Linked DNA regions of Stegostoma tigrinum. The main gene of each other region encodes a partner of the protein of the gene in region 2 in a complex. Links are inferred from orthologs where the notes say so. Each region holds a gene or a part of one and is shown on either strand. Other genes may lie near its edges.

Region 1 (7,998 bases), on a different chromosome or scaffold from region 2:
CAATGAGAGCCTTTTTCCTAGGATGGTGATGTCTAGCACAAGGGGACATAGCTTTAAATTGAGGGGTGATAGATATAGGACAGATGTCAGAGGTAGGTTCTTTACTCAGAGAGTAGTAGGGGTGTGGAATACTCTGCCTGCAACAGTAGTAGACTCGCCAACTTTAAGGGCATTTAAATGGTCATTGGATAAACATATAGAACATAGAACATTACAGCACAGTACAGGCCCTTCAGCCCTCGATGTTGTGCCGACCTGTCATACCAATCTGAAGCCCATCTAACCTGTACTATTCCATGTACGTCCATATGCTTGTCCAATGATGACTTAAATGTACTTAAGTTGGCAAATCTACTAGCGTTGCAGGCAAAGTGTTTCAGTCCCTTACTACTCTCTGAGTAAAGAAACGACCTCTGACATCTGACCTATATCTTTCACCCCTCAATTTAAAGCTATGCCCCCTCGTGCTCGCCGTCACCACCCTAGGAAAAGGGCTCTCCCTATCCACCCTATCTAACCCTCTGCTTATTTTATATGTTTCAATTGAGTCACCTCTCAACCTTCTTCTCTCTAACGAAAACAGCCTCAAGTCCATCAGCCTTTCCTCGTAAGACCTTCTCACCATACCAGGCAACATCCTAGTAAATCTCCTCTGCACCCTTTCCAAAGCTTCCACATCCTTCTTATAATGCGGTGACCAGAACTGTACACAATACTCCAAGTGTGGCCGCACCCAGAATTTTGTACAGCTGCAGCATAACCTCTTGGTTCCGGAACTCGACCCCTCTATTAATAAAAGCTAAAACACTGTATGCCCTCTTAACAGCCCTGTCAACCTGGGTGGCAACTTTGAAGGATCTGTGTACATGGACACCGAGATCTCTCTGCTAATCTACACTACCAAGAATCTTACCATTAGCCCAGTACTTTGCCTTCCGGTTACTCCTACCAAAGTGCATCACCTCACACTTGTCTGCATTAAACTCCACTTACCACCTCTCAGCCCAGCTCTGCAGCTTATCTATGTCTCTCTGCAACCTACAGCGTTCTTCGTCACTATCCACAACTCCACCGACCTTAGTGTCGTCTGCAAATTTACGAACCCATCCTTCCACGCCCTCATCCAGGTCATTTATAAAAATGACAAACAGCAGTGGACCCAACACCGACCCTTGCGGTACACAACTAGTAACTGGTCTCCAGGATGAACATTTCCCATCAACTACCACCCTCTGTCTTCTTTCAGCAAGCCAATTTCCGATCCAAACTGCTATATCTCCCACAATCCCATTCATCCGCATTTTGTTCAATAGCCTACTGTGGGGAACCTTATCGAATGCCTTGCTGAAATCCATATACACCACATCAACCAGTTCAATCTCATCTACCTGTCTGGTCACCTTCTCAAAGAACTCAATAAGGTTTGTGAGGCACGACCTACCCTTCACAAAACGGTGCTGACTATCCCTAATCAATTTATTCTTTTCTAGATGATTATAAATCCTATCTCTTATAACCTTTTCCAACACTTTACCAATAACTGAGGTAAGGCTCACTGGTCTATAATTACCAGCATTGTCTCTGCTCCCCTTCTTGAACAGGGGAACCACATTTGCTATCCTCCAGTCGTCTGGCAGTATTCCTGTAGACAACGACGAGTTAAAGATCAATGCCAAAGGCTCGGCAATCTCCTCCCTGGCCTCCCAGAGGATCCTAGGATAAATCCCATCCGGCCCAGGAGACTTATCTATCTTCACACTCTGTAGGATTTCTAATACCTCTTCCTTGTGAACCTCAATCCCACCTTGTCTTGTAGCCTGTATCTCAGTATTATCCTCAACAACATTGTCGTTTTCTAGAGGGAATACTGTCGAAAAATATTTATTTCGTGTTTCCCCTATCTCCTCTGACTCCACACACAACTTACTACTACTATCCTTGATTGGCCCTAATCTTACTTTCGTCATTCTTTTATTCTTTAAATACCTATAGAAAGCCTTAGGGTTTTCCCTGATCCTATCCGCCAACAACGTCTCATGTCTCCTCCTGGCTATTCTGAGCTCTCTCTTTCGGTCTTTCCTGGCTACCTCGTAGCCCTCAAGCGCCCTAACTGAGCCTTCACATCTCATCCTAACATAAGCCTTCTTCTTCCTCTTGACCAGAGATTCCACTTCCTTCGTAAACCACAGCTCCCACACTCTACAGCTTCCTCCCTGCCTGACAGGTACATACTTATCTAGGACACACAGGAGCTATTCCTTGAATAGGCTCCACATTTCTAATGTGCCCACCCCCTGCAGTTTCCTTCCCCATCCTCTGCTCCCTAAATCTTGCCTTATCTCATTGCAATTGCCTTTCCCCCAGCTATAACTCTTGCCCAGTGGTATACACCTATCCCTTTCCATCACTAAAGTAAACATAACAGAATTGTGATCGCTATCACCAAAGTGCTCACCTACTCCCAGTACCAAATCAAATGTGGCTTCGCCCCTTGAAGGCCTATCTACATACTGTGTCAGGAAGCCCTACTGCACACACTGGACAAAAACTGACCCGTTTATAGTACTCGAACTATAGTGTTCCCAGTCAATATTTGGGAAGTTGAAGTCCCCCATGAAAACTACCCTGTCTCTCTCACTCCTATTGAGAATCATCTTTGCTATCCTTTCCTCTACATATCTGGAACTATTCGGAGGCCTGTAGAAAACTCCCAACAGGGTGACCTCTCCTTTCCTGTTTCTAACCTCAGCCCATACTACCTCAGTTGACGAGTCCCCAAACATCCTTTCTGCAACTGTAATACTGTCCTTGATCAACAATGCCACACCTCCCCCCCCTTTTACCATCTTCTCTGTTCTTACTGAAACATCATAATCCCGGAATGGGATTGATATGGATGATAATGGAATAGTGTAGGTTAGATGGTCTTCAGATTGGTTTCACAGGTTGGCACAACATTGAGGGCCAAAGGGCCTGTACTGCACTGTCATGTTCAATGTTCTATCTATTGTTATTTGGATCATAATCTGCCTTCCTAGTTTTGCTACCAAAGTTAATAACTTCACATTTATCCACATTATACTTAATCTGTTATGCATTTGCCCATTCACTCAACTTGTCCAAATCACATTGGAGTATTTCTGCATTCTCCTCACATTTCACTCCCCAATTCAGCTTTGTGTCCTGTATAAATCTGAAGACATTATATGTAGATTCCTCATTCCTTTACATTGTGAATAGTTGAGGTCCCAGCACAGGATCCTGTGGTAGCTCATTAGTAATTGCCTTCCACTTGGAAAAAGGCCCATGTTTCTCTGCCACTGCCGGCACCTTCCCCTGCAACCGCAGGAAGTGCTACACTTGCCCCCACACCTCCTCCCTCACCCCCATCCCAGGCCCCAAGGTGACTTTCCATATTAAGGAGATGTTCACCTGCACATCTGCCAATGTGGTATACTGTATCCACTGTACCCGGTGTGGCTTCCTCTACATTGGGGAAACCAAGCGGAGGCTTGGGGGACTGCTTTGCAGAATGCCTCTGCTCGGTTCGCAATAAACAACTACACCTCCCAGTCGCGAACCATTTTAACTCCTCCTCCCATTCCTTAGACGACAGTGCCACAATGATGCCACTCGAAGGTTGCAGGAACAGCAACTCATATTCCGCTTGGGAATCCTGCAGCCCAATGGTATCACTGTGGACTTCACAAGCTTCAAAATCTCCCCCTCCCCAAATGCATCCCACAACCAGCCCAGCTCGTCCCCTCCCCCCACTGCATCACAAAACCAGCCCAGCTCGTCCCCACCTCCCTAACCTGTTCTTCCACTCACGTATCCCCTCCTCCCACCTCAAGCTGCACCTCCATTTCCCACCTACCAATCTCATCCCGCCTCCTTGACCTGTCTGTCCTCCCTGGACTGACCTATCCCCTCCCCACCTCACCACCTATTCTCTCCTCTCCACCTATTTTCTCCTCTATCCATCTTCGGTCGGCCTCCCCCTCTCTCCCTATTTAGTTCAGAACCCTCTCCCGTCCCCCTGTCTGATGAAGGGTCTAGGCCCGAAATGTCAGCTTTTGTGCTCCTGAGATACTGCTTGGCCTGCTGTGTTCATCCAGCTACACACTTTGTTATCTTGTTTCCTGTCAGCCAAACACTACCACAGTACACTACCCCCTATCCAATGTGCTTTAATTCTACAAGCTAAGCTCTTATGGGACCTTATCAAAATTCAATGTAATTTACTGTATGCGCATTAATGCATCCAATTTAAAATTCCAATCAATCCCTTGTCCATCTTGATTTCCGTAAACTTTTCCAATCCTACAATTCCCTTCAACATCGCCATTCCTTTAATTCTGATCTTTTGTGTATTCCTCCACTCTTAGCTGCAGCAAGGTAGCTCTGCTTTCATCCACAAAAACAAAGTTGCTGGAAAAGCTCAGCAGGCCTGGCACCATCTGTGAAGGAGAAAATAGGGTTAATGTTTAGGGTCCAGTGACCCTTACTTAGAACTTTCAGCCAACCTGCTACTGCACTCTGGAATTTCCGATTTTAATCTCTTTGCTTTTCCTAGTTCCTTCAAGATCTATTTTTATCATCTCCCTAAGCTTTTGGTCGCACCTCCTGTTCCTATCATGTATTCATGTTTGAACTGAGTGTCCAATACACCCCTGTATAGTATCTGAGACATTTTTTGTTAAGATAAATGTTCAACATTGCCTTGGTTGTGCACTGATGTTTCTTAATTGAAACAGTTGACACGGAATCCAGCTTTTTTTTAAACTCTTTTTCCTATTTTCAGGTGGTAGCACAATCATTGTGCACTTCACTGTAAAGTCTGATTTAATCTTCTTTCAATGCACTTGTTTTCAAAAGTCTACCTGGAGAGTTCTGTGTTCTGAGTGGCTGTAGCGGTCATCAATCCGACTGACTGACCAATGGGAGGCTCACACGGACAGCGGAAATCCCGCCCTCAGCATCCGGGCACCCTGCGCTGGAGCCACTTTTGCTGGCGGAGTTAATGGCGCCGAGGCCCTGAGGCCTAACGCAAGGCCAACGGGGAGAAAAAAAAATCGTCGCTCGCATTTTTTCCTGTCGTCGCAGGTGCGTTCAGCGTAGGCATTTCTGTGCGCTCTGGGCATATGGGTCGGGATTTAGGCTGGAAGTGAGTGGAGGTTGAGCCCCAGGGACTCGGCTCGGCGTGCGGCCTAATGGGTTTCTATTGTGGCGCTCGGCAGGCGAGGGAGGAATCGGTCCAGGACACCTCAAATATGGACTCGCTGGACTGGAACCTTCCAGGAGAAATCGTAGGGTTTTCTTTTTAATAGCACGGAAGAAGGGCTGTTCGTGTCTGTGCATCCCACGTCTAGGATGAAGGGTCTAGGCCCGAAACGTCAGCTTTTGTGCTCCTGAGATGCTGCTGGGCCTGCTGTGTTCATCCAGCCTCACATTTCATTATCTATTCACTGCAATCCTGTTTTCCAGCATTTGGCCCGTAGCCTTGTGTGCGATGGCGTTTCAAATGCTCGACTAAATGCTTCTTGAATGTCTTGATGGTTCCTGCCTCGACCATCATTTAGCCAGTGCCTTCCAGGTACCCATCACACTCTGGGCGGATGAAACTTTTTCCTTAAATTCCCTTTCAGCCTCCAGATCCTTAACTTGAATCTGTGCCCCCTAGTTATTGATGTCTCTATTAAGGGCTTGTGTTTCTCCCTACGTCCCTCAACTTTCATACACCGCGATCACGGTTCCCCAATCAGCCTTCGCTGCTATAAGGAAAACAACTCCTGCCTATCTAGTCTATCTTCATAGCTGAGGGGTTTCTCAAATATTCTGGTTAATATGTATAATAATTTACTAATATATATATGTATGACTCCATTATAGCCACCTTCCTGTTGTATTCAATACTTTGAATAATAAAGATACATACCTGATATCATTCATAACATCTGACCTGCTGCCTACATGAATATATGGACTTGCATACCAAGGTTCCCGTGATCCTGGGTATTTCCTTAGGTTCTACCATTCAACGGAAGTGTAAATTTTCTTCCCCTTTGTCCACTAACTTCTCTTCCATCAACCCCAGCGTTCACTCCAGAAGAGCATAACGTGATCTGTTTGCATAGTTTATTATTCAACAGGATTAATACTGCACATATTTCTTGCTAAATATATTTTAGACCAATGTAGCATAATCTGTAAGACTATTCACAAGGAGGATGCAGGCAAATTTGAGCCTGTATCTCAAAGGGAATCTTAATAAGGGAGAGGAGAAAAAGAAGAATTTTGGGAGCAAGTGGGACTCATTGGTACAAAAAACTTCTGTGGATGCTGGCAATGGGTTAGGCAGCATAATGATTACAAAAAGTTATATGTCAGGCTGATCTTTTGTCACAATCTATACCCAGCTCTCTCAAACAATTGCATGGATTGCCTCCTCCTGTATTTTATGATTGTAAAACTTAATAACATTTTAGGCATAGATTTAAATCCCACTTTCAAGTGTACATTTTTAAATGTAATTGATGGGGTTTAGGTGTTGCTGACTAGGCTAGCATTTTTATTGTCCATCACTAATTGATCTGGAGAAGGTGGAGTTGAGCTGCCTTTATGAATTGCTGCAGTCATTGGGTATAGGGATACCTTCAGTGCTGGTAGAAAGGCAGTTCCAAGATTATGACCTAGAGGGTAATGATCTGGATCTCAGTCAGATGGTCACACATGTTGGTTTTGGTATGTGGGGTCTGGGCCCGAGACGTCAGCTTTCGTGCTCCTATGATGCTGTTTGGCCTGCTGTGTTCATCCCGCTCTATACCTTGTTATCTGTTTATTTGGAAATGTAACTTGTTTATCATAACTTCTCCAAGAAGTCAGCACAACATCGTGGGCTGAAGGGCCTGTTCTGTGCTGTACTGTTCTATGTTCTATGTTCTATAATGCTAGACAATCTTGTCAAAATCCTGGATGTTCCATTTTCTTCCAAAGGTTGAGCTACTGAATAGCCATAGACAAGATTTTCCACTTGCTGCAGAGTTCTGAAATATTACGACTGTTGCCCAAAAACGTGCTTGGTCCTTAGGGAGTTGGTGTGTGTTGACATCAAAATTTGATGCAGGTCATGTTTGGTATAGAAGTTGCTGATTCTGGGAATCGAAGATTACTGAAATGCTGTCACTTGGCCAGGCAGTATTTTTAGAGAAGCTTGGGTTTTGTAATATGGTTAAGGTTTGCATGGTGTTGTTTAAAATAATCTGACTTCATTAGTTTTATCTATCATTTCAGAGAGCATGTGTACATTAATAAATGCATCAGCCATTCTGTACCAAAATCTAAAACAACACAATGAGAAAAATAAACTTTTTTTTGGGATTGGTCAAGAGAAGTCTCTTGCTGAGAGCACCAAAAGAGTTGCGTGTATCAGTTCAAGCTATGCAAGGGAGCATGATGTTTGCTCCAGGTTTTTATGCTTTGTTCGACATGACTGTCATATGGGATTATGAATTCATGTTCCATTTTGAAAGGCAATTCCTTAATCTTTTGGCTCATTTCAAAATCTGAGCAACTGAAGCTGACATAGTAACTTGAACATCAGTGTTCCATGAGAAATGTTGATTTTATTTTTACAAAATATTATCTAAAAGTCTGACTCCCAATTTGTATATTCAAAAACATTCAAAGAAAGTCTCAAAATGGATGTTTCAAGTGCAAACAATTGAATATACAGATGTTGAATGCTTTATTAAAGCAGTTTATTGCATGTACATCCACGGGTATGCATTAAGATAATAGGGCAAAACGTTTAGCATACTAAATGTATTTATCTGGGTGAAATGTTATGGATCAAAAGCATCTGCTAAAAATGGAAAATTTTTTTCAATCCTCTGATCTACTGTTGTGGATTGCAGCTCAAGTTGTGTGAATATGAGATTTGGATGTCAATATATGTGACCGTATTTATATGTAATCAGAGCCGGTTTAATTCACTTG
Region 2 (7,481 bases):
AACTGTCCCAGGAGCATTTCTATTTCCTTCCGTCGCTCTTTGTCACGCAGTTTATCATTTTTCAGCACAGCGAGGACCTCATCTGCTGCTCCACAGAGAATATCACGTGGCTAGAAAGAAAAGCCCAATCAATATAGAAAAATTGCCAGCTAATGCAGATGCAATACGTCTCCCTGTAACAATTTATCTTCCTTGTTCAACCTCTAAAGTGATCATTGATGAATTACTGCTCACGCTGTCTATGGCACATGCATCTGTCATATGGAAGTAGGGCAGGCAAATCAGCATGTTAGCTCAGTGGTTAGCACTGCTGCCTCACACTGCCAGAGACCCGGGTTCAATTCCAGCGTTGGGCAACTGTCTGTGTACAATTTGCACATTCTCCCTGTGTCTAACTGGGTTTCCTCCAGGTGCTCCGGTTTCTGCCCAGTCCAAAGATGTGCAGGTTGAGTAGATTGGCTATGCTAAATTTCCCGAAGTGTCCAGGGATGTGCAACTAGGTAGGTTAGCCATGGGAAATGCAAGGTTAAGGGAATGGGATGGATCTCAGTGGGATGCTCTTTGGAGGGGTGGTATGGCCTCGATAAGCTGAATGGCCTACTTCCACACTGGCCGTGGTACAGAACGCCTCAAAGAGCAAGAGTCAAAGAAATCAAAGGAACGGAGTCAATCAACTTTGACTAAGTCTCAGGTACAAATCAGGTTAAAAGTAAAAGAACCTAAAGGAAGACAAATGCATGCAGTGGAAGTGCTGAAACATCAACATCCCAAGAAACAAGCCAAGACAAATGGAAACCATCCCCTTTGCATAAAGTGGCATCCTGTCTGTGATGTAGTAGATCTTAAAATTAGTTAATCATTAAAGAGATCAGTTATGTCCATCACTTTTAGTAGCAGGGGATCTGTCTGGGATATTTTTTCACTGGAGACTCTCACCTGGTCACCAAGTGCAGCCTGAATGAAACTGAGCAACACCTCGTAGGTCTCTCTGGTCTCCTTTGTTTTGGGTTTGTACACAATTCCAACCATTTCATCAATGCCCTCTGACAACAAAGTGTATCCCCTCATTTTGTTCATGTCATGTCGGTCTTCATCACGCTTTCTCCTTCTGCATGAGACAAATTCAAAACATTTTAACAGCCAAGAAATTCAAGTAAGAATTCTCACTTAACCAGAGCACAAATATATATTTGTGCACAAAACCACCAATCTAAAGGATGGGTTGAAAAGTGCCCAATCTGATTACAAATAATCTCCCCTGTGCAGAATAGGAAGCTCCAAACGACTGAAATTTGACATGCTCAACTGCAAACCTCCCTCAACTACTATTACAATGAGTAAAGAAAGCCTTGGCACTTATTCAACATTTCAGTACACCACTGAAAATGATAGACAGGAGCCGGACTGGACTAGTCGCTTTGTGGAGTGACCCTCTCTTTTGCCAATTCCCCACATCCCTCAATTCCCCGAGACACCGAAAACCTGTCTATCCTATGAATGAGTAGATACCTGTTCTGAACCTTCATGGTTCTTTTGAGTTAAGAGCAAGATATAATCTGTGGAATGTAAAGACTAGGATGTGGACTGTTGAGAAACAAATGCTTGTAAATGTTCATAATGTTGCTTACATTAAATAACACCATGCACCAAAGTCATATGTTTCCCACCATGAGGTGGAATGATTATTTTACTATCACCTCAGGTCTAAATTTCTTGTTTAATCTGACACCTTTGCTCATTGTGAAGCATTAAAATTTTTCAGTAAACCAAAATATCAAGTGCTTTGAACTGATTGACCCACCTTGTCTGTTTACCTGCATTTTACCAAAAAACATTTTATCATTCAGGATTAAACTTTTTTAGTTCATAAAGATAGCTTATTAGTATAACTCTGCTCCCAACTCCAAATAAACTGTGATATTTGACAAGATATGTCCTTACTTTGCTCGTCTTTCCTCCTGCAACTGTGGCTTTGTTCTCTGAGCTTTGTCTCCCATTCGCGACCCTTCGAGCTTTCCAACCAGAGACAGCACTTCTCCTGTGGGCTCATCTCGTCTTGTTCGGTCGATCAGTGAACGATCTGCTTGCAATACAAGGTTGGAGTTCTGCAAAAAGAATGAAGAAACTAGTCTTATTCTCATATGGAGCGGTTTGCACAAACCTGTCGGTATTGCAAGATAACAAAATGTGGAGCTGAACGAATACAGCAGGAACTTCTGTGCTCCTAAGATGCTGCTTGGCCTGCTGTGTTCATGCAGCTCCACACTTTGTAATCTTGGGATTCTCCAGCAACTGTGGTTCCCACTATCTCTGTCAGTATTGCACTTGGGTGTAAACCATGCAAAATTTCCAGTCCTTGAGCAAAGTTGGGAATTACACATATTTCCCTGTATCCCTTCCAAAATTACTGATTTTAGAGGATTTTCACGAGAAGTTGAGGGTCGATTGGCATTTCCAAAAAAAACCAGCATTCATTTTTGTCGAGAATCTGATTTCAAAATTGCCCAATACTAATTTTTTGTTGTGGGATGGAACTGGGACATAAATTGTGTACTCATTTAAGACAAAGAATGAAAATAAAAAGCCATTAGAAACAATTCGATAACAATGACAAGGGCTCTAGAGACGTGTTCCTAGGTTGCCTGGAGGTCCCTTCAATTTCCTGATTTCAGCTCAACAGAGATGCCAACCCAGTTCTTATGTCGCATTCACCACAGCAAGGGCTAGGCCTCAACCTGGCGGTGTGCTTAACAGTGGCACTGTACTCGCCCAATTCAGCTCTGGCCATGCAAGCCCGCGCACGACTGTATCCAGCCTGTCTAGGGGATCAAACCGAGGGTTATCGATCCTCAACACCGACAGCACTCACCGCTTTGTACTCATACTGCAGGCTACGAGCAGTAACATCCGCCATTGCTGCTTGGCGATGCCTCCGCCGCCGGATGGCACTCAAACCTGACCTCCGGCCGCCGCGGATTCGCCTTCCGGGTCAAAGCCCAACGGTCTCCATGGGAACGGGAAACCCGCATCGTTTCTCAACGCCAGTTTAATTTTCCCTTTGGCGACAGGTGAGTTCCTGAAACATGGCCAGTATTGTTTACTTTTTATTTATTTGTTTAATTCTGTCGCCACCGTAAACAACGGTTATCTCACCCCCTTGGAAGATAGCAACCGTTGGCTGTCTCCCGCCATTTTCGACACTTTACCCACAATTTCTTTTACCCTTCCCTCCATCTGGGGGGAGTTCGGGCAGTTAAATTGGTCCGATGCTCTTTACTGCGAGGGGCAGAAACCGGGCATCACTGCTTATCCCGCATCAGCTGGAGACTTGGCCAACTGAAGTCAGGACAGGGAAGGTTGAATAGGACGCAATGAGCTTTTTGACACCATCAGAGGGCACCACCTCACCCCAACCTGTCAAACATGAAAATAGATGCCGGCGTTTTCTGTTAGTTCAAGCTGCTAGAGTTATTCATACTGTTTGCTTCCAGGCCAAAAAAAGGCTTTTCAGTGCTGGGTTCGCCGCTTTAATCTCTCTGTTCCCTACTGCACCTCTTAATATCACTTGTCTTCTGGACGAATAATAATCTCTCCAGATCTCCCGACAGCAATTTTCTCCCTTATATTTTCCAGCGATCTCGGCTTCTTTTCTCCTGTAACATGCATAGTCTGCAAGAAAAATTTTGCTCAGTGCAGTCGTTTTGTCTTCATTCTTAAAACCGTAAGACCATTCGAAAGAGGAACAGGGGTAGGCCATTCGGCCCTCGAGTCTGCTGCGCCACTGGATGGGATCATGATTGATCTTACACTCCTCACATCCACTTTCCTGCCCTTTCCCCAAAACCCTCGATACCCCTACTGATCAAGAATGCATTTGAGCCTTAAATATAGGGTTCTATGCAACACTGGTAGTGTCCCTATTCTCTCTGCCCGGAGACCCAAGTTCACGTTCCACCTGCTCCAGTAATAACCTCTCTAACAGGTTGAGTAGAAAATCCCTCCACAAGGACTGCTGTGTGCGGCAAGGAATTCTGAAGATTTGCAACCTTTTGAGAGAAAACATTCTTGCTCAAATCAGTCTTCAGTTGCCATTCCTGTATTCTGAGACTATGCCCTCTAGTCTTTGACATTCTCATGAGAGGAGATGTCGTTGCAGGAATTACCCTGTCAAGCACTTTAAGAATCTGATATGTTTCAATGACATCACCTCTCATTCTTCTAAATTTCAGTGAGTAGCTGTGGAGGCAAAGTCATTGTGTTTCTTTAAGACAGAGATAGATTCTTGATCAGTACAGTGATCAAACGTTATGGGGAGAAGGCAGTAGAATGGATTTGAGAAACGTATCAGCCACAATTGAATGGCAGAGCAGGCACAGTGGGCTAATTCTGCTCCGATAACTTACATAATGGTGCTTCCCCACCACTGGTTCCATATCCCATGAATTTGAACCCGTTTTTCCCATACCAATCTTTGAGTCACATGTATATGACTTTAATCTCATTGATCCTGTGCCAGCGAGTTTTGAGAAGATTTGTAGGTCAGGTTGAGGTTCTGGATGTGAGTTTGCTCGCTGAGCTGGAAGGTTAGTTTTCAGACGTTTCGTCACTTTTTTATTTGAAAAAATATACTTGATTCATAAGATGTACAAAAAATAAAACATATTTACACACCTACCCAGTCATGCAAGCCGCTCCGGGTGACCCAGGGGGTACATACACCAACTAAAGGAAAAAAAAACAAAAGAAAAAATAAAGCAAAGAAAACACCCCAGCAGTCGTCACCCCCGCACAGTCCCCGTTGGCTCCCTGACCAGTTGGGGAAGGCGCCAGCTGGGCCCATTTACCAGATACGGCCCTTTTTTCTATTCTGGATGAGGGGTTTCATACTGTGGTCTTGCCCACCGCGCCTTGGCGGCGGCTGCCCCAAGCTTTAGCGCGTCCCTCAGCACGTAGTCCTGGACCTTGGAGTGCGCCAGTCTGCAACACTCGGTCGGGGTCAGTTCTTTCAGCTGGCAGACTAGCAAGTTGCGGGCAGACCAAAGAGCGTCTTTCACCGCATTGATGGTCCTCCAGGCGCAGTTGATGTTGGTCTCGGTGTGCGTCCCGGGAAACAGCCCGTAGAGCACGGAGTCCCGCGTCACGGAGCTGCTCGGGACAAACCTCGACAAACACCACTGCATCCCCCTCCAGACCTCCTGCGCATAGGCACACTCCAGAAGGAGGTGATCAACAGTCTCGTCTCCCCGGCAGCCACCTCAAGGGCAGCGTGCGGTGGCGCAGAGATTCCGGGCATGCATAAAGGATCTCACTGGCAGAGCCCCTCTCACCGCCAGCCAAGCAATGTCCTTGTGCTTGTTTGAAAGTTCTGGCGATGAGGCATTCTGCCGAACGACTTTAGCAGTCTGCGTGGGGAACCACACGACGGGATCCACCCTCTCCTTTTCCCGAAGGGTCTCGAGGATACTACGTGCTGACCGCTGCCTGACGGCCTTGTGGTCAAAGGTGTTTCTTTCAAAAATTTCTCCACGAAGGACAGGTGGTATGGAATGGTCCAACTACTCGGAGCGTTCCGCGGCAACAAGGCCAGGCCCATCCTTCGCAACACCGGGGACAGGTAGAACCTCAGTAAGTAGTGACACTTGGTGTTTGCGTACTGAGGATCTACGCACAGCTTGATGCAGCCGCACACAAAGGTAGCTGTCAGGGCGAGGGTGGCGTTCGGTACGCCCTTTCCCCCCATTTTCCAGGTCCTTGTACATGGTGTCCCTGCGGACCCGGTCCATCCTCGACCCCCAAATGAAGTGGAAGAAGGCCCGGGTGACTGCAGCGGCGCAGGTCCAGGGAATAGGCCAGGCCTGCGCCACATACAACAGTACCGAAAGCCCCTCGCACCTGACAGCCAGGTTCTTACCCACAATGGAGTGGGACTGGAGCGTCCACCTGCCCAGCTTCTGCTTCAATTTGGTGATACGCTCCTCCCAAGTCTTAGTGCACGCCCCAGCTCCACCAAACCAAACACCCAGCACCTTCAGGTAATCTGTCCTGACGGTGAAGGGGATGAAGGAGCGATCGTCCCAGTTGCTGAAAAAGATGACCTCGCTCTTACCCCTATTGACTTTGGCACCCAAGGCCAGTTCAAACTGGCCGCAGATGTCCAATAGTCTACTCACCGACCAACGATCGGTGCAGAAGACATCGTCCATGTACAGGGAGGTCTTGACCTGAAGGCCTCCGCTGCCTGGGATAGTCACGCCCTTCAGGCTCACGTCCTTCCTGATGGATGCAGCGAAGGGCTCCACACAGCACACGAACAAGGCAGGAGAGAGCGGGCAGCCCTGCCTGACTCCAGATCTAACAGGAAAACTGTCTGATTCCCACCCGTTGATCGAGACTGCGCTAACGATGTTGGCGTAGAGCAGCCGGATCCAATTGCGGATGCCCTCCCCGAACCCCAATTTGGAGAGGACGTCCCTCATGTAAGCATGAGAGACCCTGTCGAAGGCCTTCTCTCGGTCCAGGCTGACGAGGCAGTTGTCCACCCGCCTGTCCTGTACGTAGGTGATCGTATCCCTGATGAGCGCGAGGCTCTCAGCGATCTTCCTGCCTGGCACAGCACAGGTTTGGTCAGGGTGAATCACCGACTCCAGGACAGACCTGACCCGGTTGGCTATGACATTGGCCAGGATTTTGTAGTCCACATTCAATAGTGAAATGGGACGCCAATTTTTAATTTCTTCCCTCTCCCCTTTCTTCTTGTAAACGAGGGTGATGATGCCCTTCCTCATGGACTTGCACATTTCCCCTGCCCGAAGCGCACTATCGTACACCTCCAGCAGGTGCTGGCCGACCAGGTCCCACAGAGTGGAACACAGCTCGACCGGTAAGCCGTCGCTTCCAGGAGTCCTATTCCTCTCCAAGGACTTGAGGGCTCTGGTCAGCTCGTCCAGGGATATCGGCCGGTCCAGCCACTCCCTCGTGCCATGTCTAAGACCTCCGTGAGAGACGACAGGAATGACTCGGAGGCCGTGCTGTCCATGGGCGTCGTGTTGTACAGTCCGGCATAGAAGGATCTGCTGATCCTCAAAATGTCGGGCCGAGACGACGTCACCGAGCCGTCGTCCTCCTTCAGCCGGCTAAGCACAGAGCTCTCTTTGTGCACCTTCTGAAAGAAGAAACGCGAGCATGTGTCGTCCTGCTCCACGGAGCGGACCCTGGACCGGAAGATTATCCTGGAGGCCTCCGCGGCGAAGAGCGAGGCTTGCTGGCCCCTCACCTCGCGGAGGACCTCTGTGACATCGACCCCCATCAACTGCAGAAGGAGCAGGTTCTGCACCCTTTTCTGGAGTCGTGACAGCTTTCCCCGCTCTCTCGCCTTCCGAACACCCTTGAGGACAAAGAACCTCTTGATGTTCTCCTTCACCGTCTCCCACCAGTCGCCCGGAGACTCAAAGAGGGGTTTCACGGTTCTCCAACCGGCGTAC
Region 3 (7,526 bases), on a different chromosome or scaffold from region 2:
CTTCTCTGGCCGTGACTTTACTCGTTCACTTCAATTGTCCTAATCACGTTGAAGCTTCTCTGCTCACAGGTTGCCTTCCCAGCCATCTTTATGTCCTCTGCAGACTTGGAGATATGATACACAGTTTGCTCCTCCAAAACCATTAATATATATTGTGAATAGTTGAGATACAAACACTGATCCCAGTAGGCATTGGTGCCACTCAGAAAAATTTAATTCCTATTCCTTGTTTCCTGTCTGCCAGTCAGTGCTCAATCTATTTCAGTACACAACCTCAGATCTCATGCACTTTGATTTTACATATTCATGTCTTTTGTGTGGAACCTTGTCAAAAACAATCTAAAAATCCAAGTAAACCCCTTCCAATGGCTCCTCCTCATCCACTCTAGTTAAATCTTCAAAACGTTCCAGCAGATTTGTCACGCACATCTTCCCCTTCATGAAACTGTGCTGACTCTGTCCTCCTTGTCACTTCCAAATGCTGTGCTATTACATCTTTTACAATGGATTCTAATGTTTTTCCCACTACTGATGTCAAGCTAAATGATCTAGAATGTGTGTTTTCTCTGTGCCTCCCTTCTTTAAAATGTGGGTTTCATTAGCTATCCTCTAATCTGTAGGCCAAGCAGCATCTCAGGAGCTCTCTGATGAAGGATCTAGGCCCGAAACGTCAGCTTTTTTGCTTCTGAGACGCTGCTTGGTCTGTTGTGTTCATCCAGCTTCACACTTTGTTATCTTGGACTCTCCAGCATCTGCAGTCCCCATTATCTCTAATCTGTAGGAACTGTTCCAGAGTCTGTAGAATGTTGGAAGATGCACATCTGCTATTTCTGGGGCAACTTCCTTAGTATTCTGGTATGAAGGTTATCAGCCTCCGGGCAGCCACTCCCCGCCCTCACATCCACCCCATATTTGGAATGTTTGTGTTTTCCTTTTCAAAGACAGAACTAAAGTATGTATTTGATTGGTCTGTTTTTTTGTTCCCTTTTTATAAATTCCCTTTGTCAGTCCCTATGTCTCCCTGTATTAGAATTTAAACTCTCTCAATCCTCAGATCTGCTGGGTTTTTTATTTGGCCAATTTGCATGCCTCCCTTTTTGGATTTAATACTAACTCTAATTTCTCCTCTTAGTCAGAAGACATTTCCTGTTTTGTTTTTATACCAGACTGGGATAAATAATCTTTACAGTTCATCCATGAGCTCTTGAAATTTTTGCCATCACCTGCCTGTCATTATCCCTTTTAAATAATAATCCCCAATTTGTCATAGCTAGATCACATCTCATGCCAACATAATTTCCTTAATGAGCTGGGCATTAATAACAACTCCCCTAAATGCAGTACAACATCAAAGTATTGGCCTATTTAATGTGTTAAGGAGACTGGTATGGGGCTAGAACCTGTCATTTTCTGATTGAAGTGAAAGTGCAGTTGCAAAATTGTCGAATTGTATAGTGCAGAAGTCCTTTGACCCATCAGATGTGCATCTACCCATGAGAAGGACCTGACCTTCATTCTGATTCCAATTATCAGCACTTGGCTCATAGCCTTGAATGCAGTAATGTTCCAAGAACATATCTAGGTACTTTTTAAAGGATGTGAGACAATTTGCCTCTGCCAACCTGCTTGGCAGCACATTCCAGACCACCGTCATTCCCTGGGTTTAAAAAAACGAGGTTTTCCTTCCATCTCCTGTAGCCTCTTGCCCCTTACCTTGAACCTGTGCGTCCTCTCGGCTAACCGTTTAACTGAGTGCAACAGCTGCTCCTTATCCATTCTGTCCATGCCCCTTAGTTTTGTACACTTCAGTCAGAAGACCCCTCAATCTTACGCCCCAATTAAAAAAAACCAAGCCTATCCAGCCTTTCCTCAAACTTAAATTTCCCATCCCAGGCAGCATCCTGGTGAATCTCTGCTGCGCACTCTCCAGTTCCTATAACGTGGTGACCAGAACTGCATGCAATGTTCTACCTGTGTCTCACCAAAGTTCTTTACAACTCCAACATGACTTCCTTGCTTTTGTATTTTATGCCTCGATTGATAAAGGCAAGTGTCCTGTATGTCTTTTTCGCCACTTTACAGACATGTCCTTGGGTCTTCAGTGGATAAATACTCCAAGGTCCCTTTGTCCACAGAACTTCCTGGTGTCATTCTGATGATTGAATACTTCTTTGTCAGATTACACCTTTCAGATCGTATTAACTCATGCTTTTCATGGTTAAGTTCCACCTGCCATTTATCTGCCCATTTGAGTATCCTGTTTATATGCTTTTATCACTCAAGACACTCAAGCTCACTGTTAGGCATCTGACCCATCTTTGAATTTTCCGCAAACTTACTAAACCAAACCCCCGCACAATCATCTAGTCATTTATGTAAACGGCAAATAAAAGAGGACCCAGCACACCTGCCTGTGGTATGCCATTGGTTACTGACTTCGATTCACTAAAGCAGCCTTCTACATTCACCCTCTGTCTGTCGCAACTGAGTAAAGTTTTAATCCACTTTATCAGATTACCCTGTATCCTGTGTGCATTTGCCTTCATGATAGGTCTCCCGTGTGGGACCTTGTCAAAGGCTTTGCTGAAATCCATATAAACTGCAGCAACTGCACCACCCTTTTCTATACACTGGTCACCACATCAAAAAATTCAATCAAATTTGTTAGCATGATCTCCCTCTGCCAAAGCTATGCTGACCATCTCTGATCAAACCTTTCCTCTCCAAGTGGAGGTAGATGCTCTCCTTCAGGGTTCTTTGGCTTATTTCTGCAACCTTCCTTAAATATCAGAACCACGTTAGTCCTCTGGTACCTCACCTGGAGCCAGAGAGGAATTAAAAATTTGGGTCAGTGGCATTGCAATCTCCTCCTTGTCCTCCTACAACAGCCAAGGACACAATTTCATTTTTTCCTTTATTCATTCATGGGATGAGGGTGTGGCTGGCTTGGCAGCATTTATTGCCCATCCCTAATTGCCAAGAGGGCAATTAAAAGTCAACCACATTGCTACAGACCTGGAGTCACATGTAGGCCAGACTAGCTAATGAAGGTGGTTTCCTTCTCTAGAGGACATTAGTGAACCAGATGGGTTTTTCCAACAATGACATTTGATCCATGGTCATCATTAGACTCTTAATTCCAGATACTTATTAAATTCAAATGCTACCATTGGCCATGGTGGAATTCAAATCCAGGTCCCCAGAACATTATCTGGGTCTCTGGATTAACAGTCCAGCGATAATACCAGTAGGCCTTTTTGTTTGGACCCAGAGATTTGTTCATCTTTAAGCCTGCCAGCACCTCCAAAACCTTGTCCTTCCCTATGGCAATTTGCTCAAGCACCTCGCAGTCTCTTTCCCCCAGGGTTCTATATCTTCATCTTCATTTTCTTAAGTGAAGATAGATGATATTGGGTCACGACTTTACCTTTGTCCTCTGGCCCCAGCCACAAATTGCCCACTTGTTCCCTAATGGGGCCTGCTCTCACCGTGGTTACACTCTTTCCCCCTTGATGTATTTATACTTGTAGAATATCTCTTGGTGTTTTCCCTACTTTTACCATATCCCCTTTTGCTTTCCTAATTGCCATTAATCTCCATTAATGCCTCTGCTTGTGCCTGCCTCTTTTCTCCCTTCTTATCGTATCCTGAATATCTCTGATCATCCATGGTTCTCTGGGCTTGTTATTCTTTCCCGTATCCCTGGAGGGAACATGTTAGGCTTGTACCCTCTCCATTTACTTTTTGAATGTTCCCCACTGTTCTTCTGTAGTTTTCCTCACTAGTCTACCAGATCCTAATGTATTTTACTAAAATCTGCCCTTTGCCTCCATCCAAAACTCTTTTTTTCTTGCAAGTTACCTATTTCTTTTTCTATATTCAGCTTAAATTATACCATGTTGTGATTGCTATCACTAAAATGCTCCCTCACCACCACCAGAATTGGGACCAGGACCCTCTGTATATTGGCCTAAAAGGTTCTCCTGTACATATTTCAAGAAATTCACTCAATCCAAGCACTTAACATTATGTCTATCCCAGGTAATGTTGGGAAAGTTGAAATCACATGTTATAATTATCCTTAGTTGTTATTTTTACACACATCAACAAATGGTGCAAAAATTTGCTCCTCAATTTCCTGTCAGCTCTCTGGGAGTCTACAATAAACACTTAGCAATCCAGCTGTCCCTTTTTTATTCCTAAACTCTACCTACAAAACTTCATCCACAATTTAAATAACAAATTATATTGAAGTTCTCTTTCTTTCCTGGAAGTATCCAGCTTTTACTCTGCAATTAATTTAAATTACTAAATTTAAATTGATGCTTTTGGAGATAAAGAAAGAATTTTCTGCTAATACTAGCCACTGCCTTTTTGCTTGTCATTCACTCATCCTCTTTCTCACTAGTGCTCTCAACTGATGATAACAGTTTGTTATAATTGTAGAAGCCCATGTCAGTTCTTTGCAAAGTTGGTTCTGAATTATGTGTGCTTGTATTGTCATTTAGGAAATGTTTCTGTTCTGATGCAGGCTGAAGGATTAAAAAAATGAGCCTGCGAAAGCAAACACCAAGTGATTTTCTAAAACAGATCATCGGGAGACCAGTGGTAGTCAAACTGAACTCGGGCGTGGATTATCGAGGTACGGTAAGCCCTCACTTAAAATTGTATTTGAATTCCTGAAAATTTCAACTTCAAGTGAAATAACTGAGTGAACCATGAGTTGCCATAGGGATCAGGTTTAAAACTACTGTTGGGACCTTTTGGACATTCGTTCCTGGACAAACCAAATGAACAAGTCAAAATAGCATTTTTCACATGTGCAACACTGCATTCCTATTGAAATAATTTGCAAAACAGAACAAGTCATTTGAAATGTTAAAGAAATTCTATATAAATTGAAGAGGGCTATGCAATAAGAGCCAGACGTGAGAATACATGTGGTTGGATAGCTGCTTCAAAAGCCAGCACCAAAGTGATAGGCCGAATAACTTTCTTTTGTGGTGTAAAATTTTGATTAGTCCATGATTCAAGAGAAGTTAAAGGAAGGTCCCTAATCCTAGTCCACTATCCCTTAATCTAACTTCCTCAGGTAGTCTTATTGTATTTTCTTCTGTAAGCTTCTGGAACCTTTTCCCCTTCCCACCTCGTATAGTGCTTCCAGTCTTACAGTGAAGTGCATTTTTAAAAAAAATCACAGAATGCTGTATTTTCATTTTTGCATTTTTTAATCTCCTCCATATTTAGTGTGTAGTTGCCCTGATGATTTTCTTTCTGTCATTATTAGCTCTTAGGACAAAACATTTAATCCTGTACCATGGATATAAGCCCTACAGTCCCTTCAAATGAATTTCCAGTCTTCTTTGCCTGAATTTCAATAGATTGTCATAATATAAAAATTCACTTGTAACCTAATTCACAGCTATGATGTTCAACTTCAGTGTTGCACGTTTCTGTTGGCAAGTGCGTTCACAAACTTGGTAAAATCAGAAGTCATGCCGTAAATTGATTAGGGAAACAGGCCTTGAAGAATAAATATCTTTAAAACAAAACAATGCGAAACAAAACCACTTAAAGTGAGGACTTACTGTATTGGAATCGTCCCCCTCAGCTGCTTAAACGCTAGTTTAAAAAAGACCGGGTCACAAAATCACCGAAGACTTTTTGGCAAAGAAGGAGGCCTTCTATCTGCACTGTTAAATGAGCATCATTACCCAGAGCTGATTTCCTGCTTTCCCCCCAAGCCCTTGCATATAATTTCAGCTGGTGAGTTCATGAATGCCTCAATGGAACCTAATTCCACCACAATTCTAGGCAGTAAATTCCATACCCTAACTGAAGGAAGGTAATTTTCCTCACTTCACCCTTGCTTACTTTGCACTCTAGATCACTTCATATCTATGTTCTTGAAACAAATAAGAACAGTTTCTCGCTGTCACTCTCCTGTCTAGCCCTTACATGATCTTGAAAACCTCTATCAGATCTACGCTTAGCCTTTTACAAATCGCTTCAGCAATTTGTTCAATGTGTTCACATCTTTCCGATAACATGGCACCCACAACTGTACCCAGTACTCTAGCAGAGGTCTAACAAGTGTCTATATAAGTTCAGCATCACCTCCTTGCTCTTGCACTCCACTAATTAATCTGTGGCTACTGTATGCTTTATTTATTGCTCTCCCTTTATCTGTCCTGCCACTTTCAAAGATCTGTGCACATACACACCCAGGTCCCTATGCTCTTGCATCCTCCATAGTGTGCCTACTATTTAATATTGGCTTTCAATGTTCTTCCTACCAAAGTGTTTCAACCTGCACTTCTCTGCATTGAAATGCATCTACTGCCCATGTGCCCACTCCACCAACCTTTTCCGCACTATATATCTTTTGCAAGCTTTGAAATTGCCCCTGCACATCAAGATCCAGATAATTAATATCTATCAGGAGAAGCAAGGGCCCCAATACTGACCCCTGGGGATCTCCTCTTAAAAACCTTTGCCCAGTCTAAAAATATATTACTCTATTCATTTTGCTAGTGACCCTTTTATAACATGAGCTATAACTTTCCTCACAGGTCTGTGTTGTGGCACTGTACCAAACACCTTTTCAATATCCGTGTGCACCACCTCAACAATGTTATCTTCTTCAAGCATTTTTGTTTCCTGTTCAGAAAGCTCCAAGTTAGTTTAACACCATTTTCCACTTTAGGAAGAATCAGTGTGGATTTCTAATCAACCCGCCATTTTCCATGTGTTTATTAATTCTATCCTGAATAATTGTCTCAAAACTTCCCCAATGCTGAAATTAACCTGATTAGTCTGTAATGATTGGCTTATCCTTGGCATCTCCTCCAAGACCAGGGGAGACTGAAAGATTGTGGCCAGTACCCCTGCAATTTCCACGCTCATTATATAAATGATGAAAAGTAATGGACCCAACGTTGACCCTTGTGGCACACCACTGGCCACAGGCCCCCAGTCTGAAAAGCAACTGTACATCACCACCCATGATCTTCTACCTTGGAGCCAGTTCTGCATCATTGCTATGTTACACCGAACATTCTAATAATGGGTTTTAATAAATTTTAATTACAGTTGTATCATTTTTGCCAGGTGTTTTGGCCTGTCTGGATGGTTATATGAATATAGCATTGGAACAAACAGAAGAATATGTAAATGGTCAACTTAAGAACAAGTATGGAGATGCATTTATTCGAGGCAACAATGGTAAATTCACTTCTTTCCTTTCTAAATAAAATTTGAAAGTTATGCTTTATAATGGACTGTAAAACTACAACTGTATATTGAGAAAGTTTTTGAAAAAAAGCATTCTTCCCAGGACTGATTAGTTGCTTGCATGACTCTTTTGTGCTTTCTGTCTGACACTGTTTCTTTCAGTATTTTGTTTCTGTATCATTTTCTGTCTCTTTCCTGAAGAAAACCATGCTGTTTGTTTTAAAACACACTAAATCCTTGATGCCCATGAGGAATAGAGCGTGGACCTCCCACAGATACCCAAAAAACATGAA
Region 4 (7,582 bases), on a different chromosome or scaffold from region 2:
GTCAATCTGCAGCATGTGGACTGCAGCAATGGCTTAAGATGATTCGTCTGGTTGTTCATGTTCACTTGTTCAGAATTAAGTGATCTGTTGTGCATAGGTTCCTCAATGCAATAACCAGCTCTGCATTGTAAAGACTCCGCAGTTCATCAAGATGAAATTTGACACTCTGCCATTTCACTGTCATTTTTCACTCACGCCTGTCTCAACTTCTGCTTTCAAAAGATTTTCACAATTGTAAGAGGAATTTGGTGCGACGTGATATTAGTCTTTGTGCTGGACTACTTTCCATGCCTCCTCTAAGCACATTGTCCATTCAAAGATTACCTTGTGCAAGTCTGTGCTGGATTTCTCAATTTCTTCAGTTTTAGATTTGATTCGCTAGAGTGTGGAAACAGGCCCTTCGGCCCAACAAGTCCACACTGACCCTTGAAGCATCCCACCCACACCCAAACCCTAAAACCCACACACCCCTGAACACTATGGGCAATTTAGCATGGCCAATCAACCTAGCCTGCACATCTTTGGACTGTGGGATGAAACTGGAGCACCTGAGGAAACCCATGCAATCACGGGGAGAACATGCAAACTCTACACAGACAGTCGCCCTGGACTGGGATCGAACCCTGGTCCCTGGTGCTGTGAGGCTGCAGTGCTAACTACTGAGCCACCGTGCCACCTATATTCCTTTGGCGATTTTCACTGCTACCTGGCCTTTCCATTTGAGTGGGAACGGCGTAGTGATGTTGTATGGTGTTAAATTGACCTATCCTTTGTGAAGTGCCTGAAGTCTCCCCTTGGAAATTGAGGGCCATTGCCACGTATCACAATATCTGGAATGCTGTAACAACTAAAGAATGCTTTCAGGTATTGTATAATCTTAATATTAGTTGTTAATTTCAGTCAATATAAATCCCAGTAGAGTAATTAATGGTGACAAGATAAAAAGACAAGCCCCTGTGAGAGTGGAGGAGCCTACTACAAGCTTCATCCATGATCAGGCTGGGATGTGATATGACCAGCTTTTGACATCCAGTGATGTTACCATCACTGAATCCCCCATTATCAACTTTGAAGGGGTTACAATTAACCAGAAACTCAACTGGGAATTGCCACATAAAAGCCTGTCCACCATCAACAAGGCACAAGTCAGGAGTGTGATGGAATACTCACCACTTACCTGGATGAGTGCAGCTCTAACAACACTCAAGAAGCTTGACAACATCCAGGGCAAAGCAGCTGCTTGATTGGCACCATTTCAACAAGCTTCCACTCCCTCCACCACCCATGTTCAGCAGCAACAGTGTGTACTGCTTACAAGATGCACAGCAGATTATTCACCAAAGATTGTTAGTCAGCACCTTCCACACCTACTATAATTTTGATCTAGATGAACAAGGGTAGCACCACTTAATGCATGTTCCCCTCCAAGACACTCTCCGTCCTGACTTGGAAATATCTTGGTGTTCATTTAGTGTTCATGTGTCAAAGTTCTGTAATCTCCTCCCTAATGGCATTGTGGGTCAACCTGCAGCATGTGGACTACAGCGGTTCAAGAAGGCAGATCACCACCACCTTCTCAAGGGCAAGTAGGAATGGGCAAGAAAACTGGCCAGCCAGCGATGCCCAATTCATGTGAGTTATTTTTAAAAAAACCATAAAACCATCAGAAATAGGAACAGGGATAGGCCATTTGACTCCTTGAGCCTGGTCTGCCATGCAATCGGATCATGCTGATCCAATATGCCTCACATCCAATTTTGTCCTTTTTCCATGATCCTTGATTCCCTTGGTGATCAAGAATCTATCAACCTCAATCTGAAATATACACAGAACTCTGCCATACAGCTCTCTGTAAAAAAATTCCAAAGAATTTTTGCCCACTTTCTTAACCATCAATATTTCTCTGTAAACTGTTTGTATCCTTTCTGGAATCTGTCTTTCTACCTATTTCCGTGTTGTCTGCAAACTTGGCTGCAGAACATTCACTTACTTCCTCCAAGTCGTTAATATTTATTATGAACAGTTGCAGTCCCAGTACTCATCCTTGTAGAACCCTATGACCGACAGCCATACTAGTATGAAAACACCCAATCTTGTCTGATCTCGGAAGCCAGGCAGACCCAGGCCTGGTTAGTACTTGAATGGGAGAGCACCTGGGAATACCAGGTGCTGTACCCAGATCCTGGGGCAGGTTAGGCAGAGACAAGCACAAGAATTCCTAGAAGTATGGCACTCCAAAAGCCTGCTATTAATAAACACATTGAACTCAACCCCATTTCCATTCCACTACGAAGGAAAAACCAGAAGTGAGGTAATCCATCGCAACGGACCCCAGAGTTTAAAAACTAGGTGGGGAAACACACCGACGCTTAATTGGAGGCTGCACTGAAGATGTTAACCAGCACAGTAATGAAACATCTGCAAAACAAGAAACCAGCTGGGCGAGCCATCCAACCTCAACAACCTCAATTACACACACTCATGTTGCTTCAATCTTGCAGGAAGTTTGTCATGGTTGTCAGCAGCCCTCAATCAAGTGAAGGGTGACAGCCTTCAGTCAGAGGCTACCAAAATAGTAAATCAAGGAAAATCTCCAACACCAGTCCAAGGACATAGCACGGTCAGCCACCTGGAGCAAAGTCAGCATCCTTTCCTCATTGGGGGTAAGCACCTGACTGCTGGCCAGTCCACCACCAGTCTTGACCATTTCTTTTCCATTGTAGACTGTTTTTCTCCTGGAATGAGAGAGAGGCAGGTACTAAGGCAGATGAAGCTGGGTGGCACACTTACATTTTTTACTTGTGGGGAGATGTCCTGGTCGAGGGAGTAGACAGCACCGAGGGCATGCAGGCATAGAGATGCTGGGGTTTAGTGGGATGATAGCGAGTGAGGGAAGATGTTGCAGGCCTTTGTGGGAGGTGGGTACAATAGCTGGGACTGAGCGAGTGTGAGATTTGGAAAGAAGATGGTTGCACTGACTCTGGCAGGCAGGAGAAGGACATTGACTATACATTCCCGCAGACAGCTGATACTGCTTTAACCGGGCGGCAATTTTAACTGGGCGGCAATATTGGACCAGGCTGCTTGTTCTGGGACCATGCTGTCCTCTCCTGGAGAAGTGGAAATACCAGCTTTACATCTCTCTTTCCAATGCAATCTCCCAAGTCTTTGCTTGCAAAGTGAGGGACCGGTTTCCCCTATAACAAATTGTGAAGCTGGATGAACACAGCAGGTCAAGCAGCATCTCAGGAGCACAAAATCTGATGTTTCAGGCCTAGACCCTTCATCAGAGCAAGTCTAGCAGACTCTAGGCCCGAAACATCAGCTTTTGTGCTCCTGAGATGCTGCTTGGCCTGCTGTGTTCATCCAGCTTCACACTTTGTTATCTTGGATTCTCCAGCATCTGCAGTTCCCATTATCACTGGTTTCCGCTTGTCTGTTATGCCAGGGACGAATATCAGGAACTGTGCACACCAGCTCTAGGTGCCTGTCTGGGTGCACAATGGACTTTCGAAGATGGAGTAGGTGCAAGGGATTTTGGTTAATTTCAGGACATCCCATGGGTGGCTGAAACAACATGTGGCATGATGGAAGTGAAATTGAGCACAATTTTTTTCACCGTGTTGGGGGCTGGAGGGGATGATGGTGGTCAATGAGTTGAGTTTGGTAAGATACCCACTATCTTTGTGATGAAAAGCTCTCTAAGAACACATAAAACTCATATTTAGCCAAACAAATTTAAGATTCAGCTCTATATTTCAAATGATGCTGATTCAAATGACTGCCACAGATTGTGTGTAAGGACACTTTCAGTGGAAGTAGTGATCACATGATATTGTCAGCCCACCCTCTACACCAAGGTTACAAATGTATTTCTGCAAAAGGACTTATTTATGAGGATGGCAATGTACCAGCAACATGTGGCCTGTACTATGACGTTCAAGTCCACCCTAAAGTTAAGGTTTGGGCCTCATTCATCTTCATGTGAAAAGCTGATGGCAGCCGCTGTGTCTCCTCATAATGGTCATCCATTTTGGAAGAAGTCTAATTTTGGCTCATTTGCCTCACCAGTTGCAGACCAAAGCCAAGGAGTAAAAGAAAGATGTTTGGGGATTGGGGAGTGGTTATCCATAAAGTGGAATTAGTTGGTCAGGTTCGGTTAGAGATGTTGCGGCCCCGTGTATCGTTTAGACTACACGGGTTAAGTCTCTTGTAAGACGAGTCATTGCAAAGATTTGAAAAAAAATGCATATGCTCCAGAGTGAAATTTGTTATCAAGACTGCTCAAAGACGTATAAATGCGTGACACAAGACTGAAGTGGATCATATTATTAAATGGAAATTTTATGAGATTCAAGCCACTCAGGCAGCACGTGTTTGAATTTAACTTGTTGTTCTGTTGCTACAGTATTTGTGAGTGAGTGCTCAGACAGAACAGCAAATCAACGTCTGGTTCCGTCTCCCGGGCTGCGAGGCTTCGGCTGTTTCCGCAACAGGGGCTGCGAGCGCTCGGCTATTTCCGCCATGCGGCCTGTGCGGCCTCGGCTGTACCCGTGTACCGGAAGCTCCTTGAAGAACGAACGGGTAAACCGGAAGTGGGTGATCCGGCAGCCCCTCCACAGACAGACAAGATGGACGCGGGGTTTTTCCGCGTAAGTAGAGCAGCAACCGAGTAGAGCTTGTTTGTCGAGCCCGATTGGAAAGCTCATCCATTGTAGTGGTGGCCGGAACAATTCAAAGGACCGGCGGACCTGTTCTGGTTGTTTTAAATGCATAAAACTCGGGTCTTTTCCCTGAATACACGTAACTGCGGATTCGGCCTTAGCAACCGAGCGGGAATGAAAATGGCGGCGGGTGGCAGGCTTTTGATGGAGGGGAGGGAGGCAAGGGAGCCGTACTGTGGGTTTGGTTTTTGTCTCTCCAGCTCATCTGTTCGTCTAATTTAATTCATTGCACCTTGAGTGTAGCTAGGGAGCAACATGTCTCATTTTAGTTCTGGACGAAACCCGGGCAATTTTATTTTCCTTGAGGGATCGGTTCTAATGCGGCAGCCAGTGGAGCCGAAGCCCAGCAAAGTGCCTGACCGACTCTTAACACAAATCTTAACTCCGTGGTTCGAATCTTAATCCGGTTCCTCCCTGTTGTTTTTTGGAGCTCTTCTGGCTTTTGCACCGAATGTTTCAAACGGTATTTTTGTTTCTGAGGCGCAATTGAATGACTCCATTAGGGCCTGGTTCTCCAGCATGGTCGCAAATAGAGCGTCGTGTGGTTCGAGGCTGAAAAATGGACCCAAGCTATCTACCACGCGAGGGGAAATACAGTCACCTTTAAACAATCAAAGTACTCGTTCGTTTTAGATATAATAGACATCCAAGCGAATTCATGACTCGATTAATTTCAAAGCAGATATAATCCGAAGTAACACTTCAAATATTTTATTTGGAATTAGAGATAAAATTGCTTTAATGTAGAACAGATTATCGGGTGAGCGAGTTACAGTTTGTGCTGGATTCTAGATTTGTGTTTTTTGTTTAAAAATTCAAACTAGATTCAGTAGTAAAACGTCTTTAACTTGCTGCAGTATTGTATTGTTTCCCTTTATTCTGACCAGAACATTGTATGATTGGAAAGTCCAGATTTGTATGGTACATATCAGACATTTAAGTGTTAATACAAATTGTAAGTAATGAAAATGGAGCAAGTTGCAATTTATTTTTGGAACTGTTTGACACTCAAAAACTTGTTCATCCCTTCAGTGCGTTGCTTTTATCATGCTATCTGACGTTTTGGTTGACAGTTTTTGCTTTTTGGTGACACATAGTAAAAGCTGGTTTCTTCTATTTTGGCCATTTCAGAAAATCTAGTGCTTAGCTTATCATTAATTTGTTGCAAAATAATCTTTTTTAAGAAATGAAAAATAATCACAGAAACAAGTTTGGCAGTAGCAGAGAGTAAATTTATTTCAGATCTATGATCTTTCATCAGAGGTAGGGGGAATGTGATAGGTTTTTTAAAAGTGAAGTGGGGGGAGATTGATGAAAGGCTAGATCTGATAGCCTAATCTATCCCACCTCCTACCCTATTTAATGGGATGTGGGTATTGCTATGAGGCCAACATTTATTTCCCATCTCTCATTTCTCTTGAGCTGAGTGACTTGCTGGGCTGTTTCAGTAGCTAGGAATCAACCACGTTGGCCAGACCAGGTAAGGATGTTGATTTTTAATGGCAATTGATACTTTTATGATTGCCAGTGCTGAAACTAGTTCTGTATTTCAGATTTGAATGCACTTTTGCTGGATACTAACTGATTTTTGGATTACTTTATCCATTAAAATTAATGACAGCACTGTATCTTTTTAAATGACAAAAATGATCTTGCAACAAAACTAATGGGATTGATAACGGAGTAAATAAAAACAAAATGTGCCTTGGGGCGATGTGATTGGTAGGATCATAAAATCCAAAAGAGAGCCAAGATAAATTAGAAACAAACCTGCAAGGGGAAAGAACAGGACCAGAGGTTATGATCTAAAGCCCCTAATTAAAGCATAAGATGATGATCCTTGAGCTAGTCTTGGAATGCATCAGATGACTGACAGTGGCAAAAATCAACGGGAATAATTTGTAGATTTAAAATGATCAGTGACTGGAAGCTTAGGGCCATGTTTTTGGACTGACTGTAGAAAGTTGTGCAAAGGGCCTGCTTGATTTACATTTGGTTTCAGTATGAAAAATTATCCACATTGTCAGTGGAATAATTAATTGAAATTTCAAGTAAATTGATATTTCACCTGGAAGCATTGTTTGGGGGTTTTGAAGATTACAATTGAGTTAGAGAAGGGTAGGTATTTTATTATGCATGAGGGTTGTGGAGGTGACTGAGTAGTAGGTCTCTAAGTTGCAGAGGACATAATCCTTTTCTATTTATTTGTGAGATGTGAGCATCACTGGCTAACCAGATTTATTGACCATCCCTAGTTTCCCTTGTAAAGGAGGTGGTTAGTTGTAGCCTTGAACTGCTGCAGTCGCTTGCTGCGCGTTGACCCACACCACCCTTGGGACAGAATTCCAGGAGTTTGACCCAACAAAAGATATATTTCCAACTCAGGATGGTGAGTGACTTGGGGAACCTGTTGATGTTCCTGTGGGTCTGCTGCCCATTTCCTTCTAAATGGAAGAGGTTGTAAGTTTGGAAAGTACTGTCTGAGGATCTTCAGTGAATTTCTGCACTGCATCTTGTAGATAGTACACATGGCTGCTAATGATTGTCAGTGGTGGAGGGAGTTGATGTTTGTGGATGTGGTGCCAATCAAGTGAACTGCTTGTGTGTTGTCAGAGCTGCGCCCATCAGTCAAAAGGAAAGCATTCCATTACATTCCTGACATGATTTGAGGTGTCTGGCAAGTAACTCACCTCCTTAGAATTCCAAGCTTCTGACCTCCCCTTGTAGCTACTGTTTATGCGGTGACTTCAGTTGAGTTTCTGGTCACTGGTAACCACCCAGATGTTGATAGTGAAGGATTCACAATGTCAAGGGGTGGTGGTTACATTGTTTGTTATTGGCGATGATAATTGCCTGGC

Evidence for each region.
Region 1: the proteins of snrnp200 (region 2) and prpf8 are in contact, whole or in part, in a cryo-EM structure (PDB 7OS2), measured with the Homo sapiens proteins. The link is inferred for Stegostoma tigrinum from reciprocal best matches to the Homo sapiens genes SNRNP200 and PRPF8. Residues at the interface, in NP_054733.2 of Homo sapiens: Pro543, Met544, Arg545, Ser546, Thr570, Gly571, Thr589, Glu591, Lys592, Ile595, Arg624, Arg728, Lys729, Glu773, His786, Ala787, Thr814, Glu837, Tyr992, Thr1008, Ser1010, Ile1012, Leu1041, Glu1042, Arg1043, Val1044, Pro1045, Ile1046, Pro1047, Val1048; in NP_006436.3 of Homo sapiens: Trp2073, Arg2074, Ala2077, Ile2078, Ala2081, His2084, Asn2109, Lys2113, Tyr2168, Glu2171, Met2172, Arg2266, Leu2268, Gly2269, Phe2270, Gln2276, Arg2287, Leu2298, Ala2299, Asn2300, Glu2303, Glu2307, Arg2310, Pro2311, His2313, Phe2314, Leu2315, Asn2316, Phe2317, Ala2318.
Region 3: snrnp200 (region 2) and lsm6 share a complex: the UniProt entries of both Homo sapiens proteins name them as parts of the U4/U6-U5 tri-snRNP complex. The link is inferred for Stegostoma tigrinum from reciprocal best matches to the Homo sapiens genes SNRNP200 and LSM6.
Region 4: snrnp200 (region 2) and srrm1 share a complex: the UniProt entries of both Homo sapiens proteins name them as parts of the minor spliceosome. The link is inferred for Stegostoma tigrinum from reciprocal best matches to the Homo sapiens genes SNRNP200 and SRRM1.

What each region holds. Positions count from the first base shown.
Region 1 is NC_081380.1:24,517,626-24,525,623, forward strand, and holds the start of prpf8 (pre-mRNA-processing-splicing factor 8), read left to right. Parts: upstream 1-4,980; 5' UTR 4,981-5,106; intron 5,107-7,998. UniProt on the Homo sapiens protein: Plays a role in pre-mRNA splicing as core component of precatalytic, catalytic and postcatalytic spliceosomal complexes, both of the predominant U2-type spliceosome and the minor U12-type spliceosome.
Region 2 is NC_081393.1:10,285,249-10,292,729, reverse strand, and holds the start of snrnp200 (U5 small nuclear ribonucleoprotein 200 kDa helicase), read right to left. Parts: upstream 3,002-7,481; 5' UTR 2,915-3,001; coding exon 2,870-2,914; intron 2,106-2,869; coding exon 1,942-2,105; intron 1,109-1,941; coding exon 937-1,108; intron 111-936; coding exon 1-110. UniProt on the Homo sapiens protein: Catalyzes the ATP-dependent unwinding of U4/U6 RNA duplices, an essential step in the assembly of a catalytically active spliceosome. Plays a role in pre-mRNA splicing as a core component of precatalytic, catalytic and postcatalytic spliceosomal complexes.
Region 3 is NC_081354.1:46,941,645-46,949,170, forward strand, and holds the start of lsm6 (U6 snRNA-associated Sm-like protein LSm6), read left to right. Parts: upstream 1-4,508; 5' UTR 4,509-4,548; coding exon 4,549-4,642; intron 4,643-7,110; coding exon 7,111-7,224; intron 7,225-7,526. UniProt on the Homo sapiens protein: Plays a role in pre-mRNA splicing as component of the U4/U6-U5 tri-snRNP complex that is involved in spliceosome assembly, and as component of the precatalytic spliceosome (spliceosome B complex).
Region 4 is NC_081377.1:23,968,501-23,976,082, forward strand, and holds the start of srrm1 (serine/arginine repetitive matrix protein 1), read left to right. Parts: upstream 1-4,564; 5' UTR 4,565-4,631; coding exon 4,632-4,652; intron 4,653-7,582. UniProt on the Homo sapiens protein: Part of pre- and post-splicing multiprotein mRNP complexes. As a component of the minor spliceosome, involved in the splicing of U12-type introns in pre-mRNAs. Involved in numerous pre-mRNA processing events.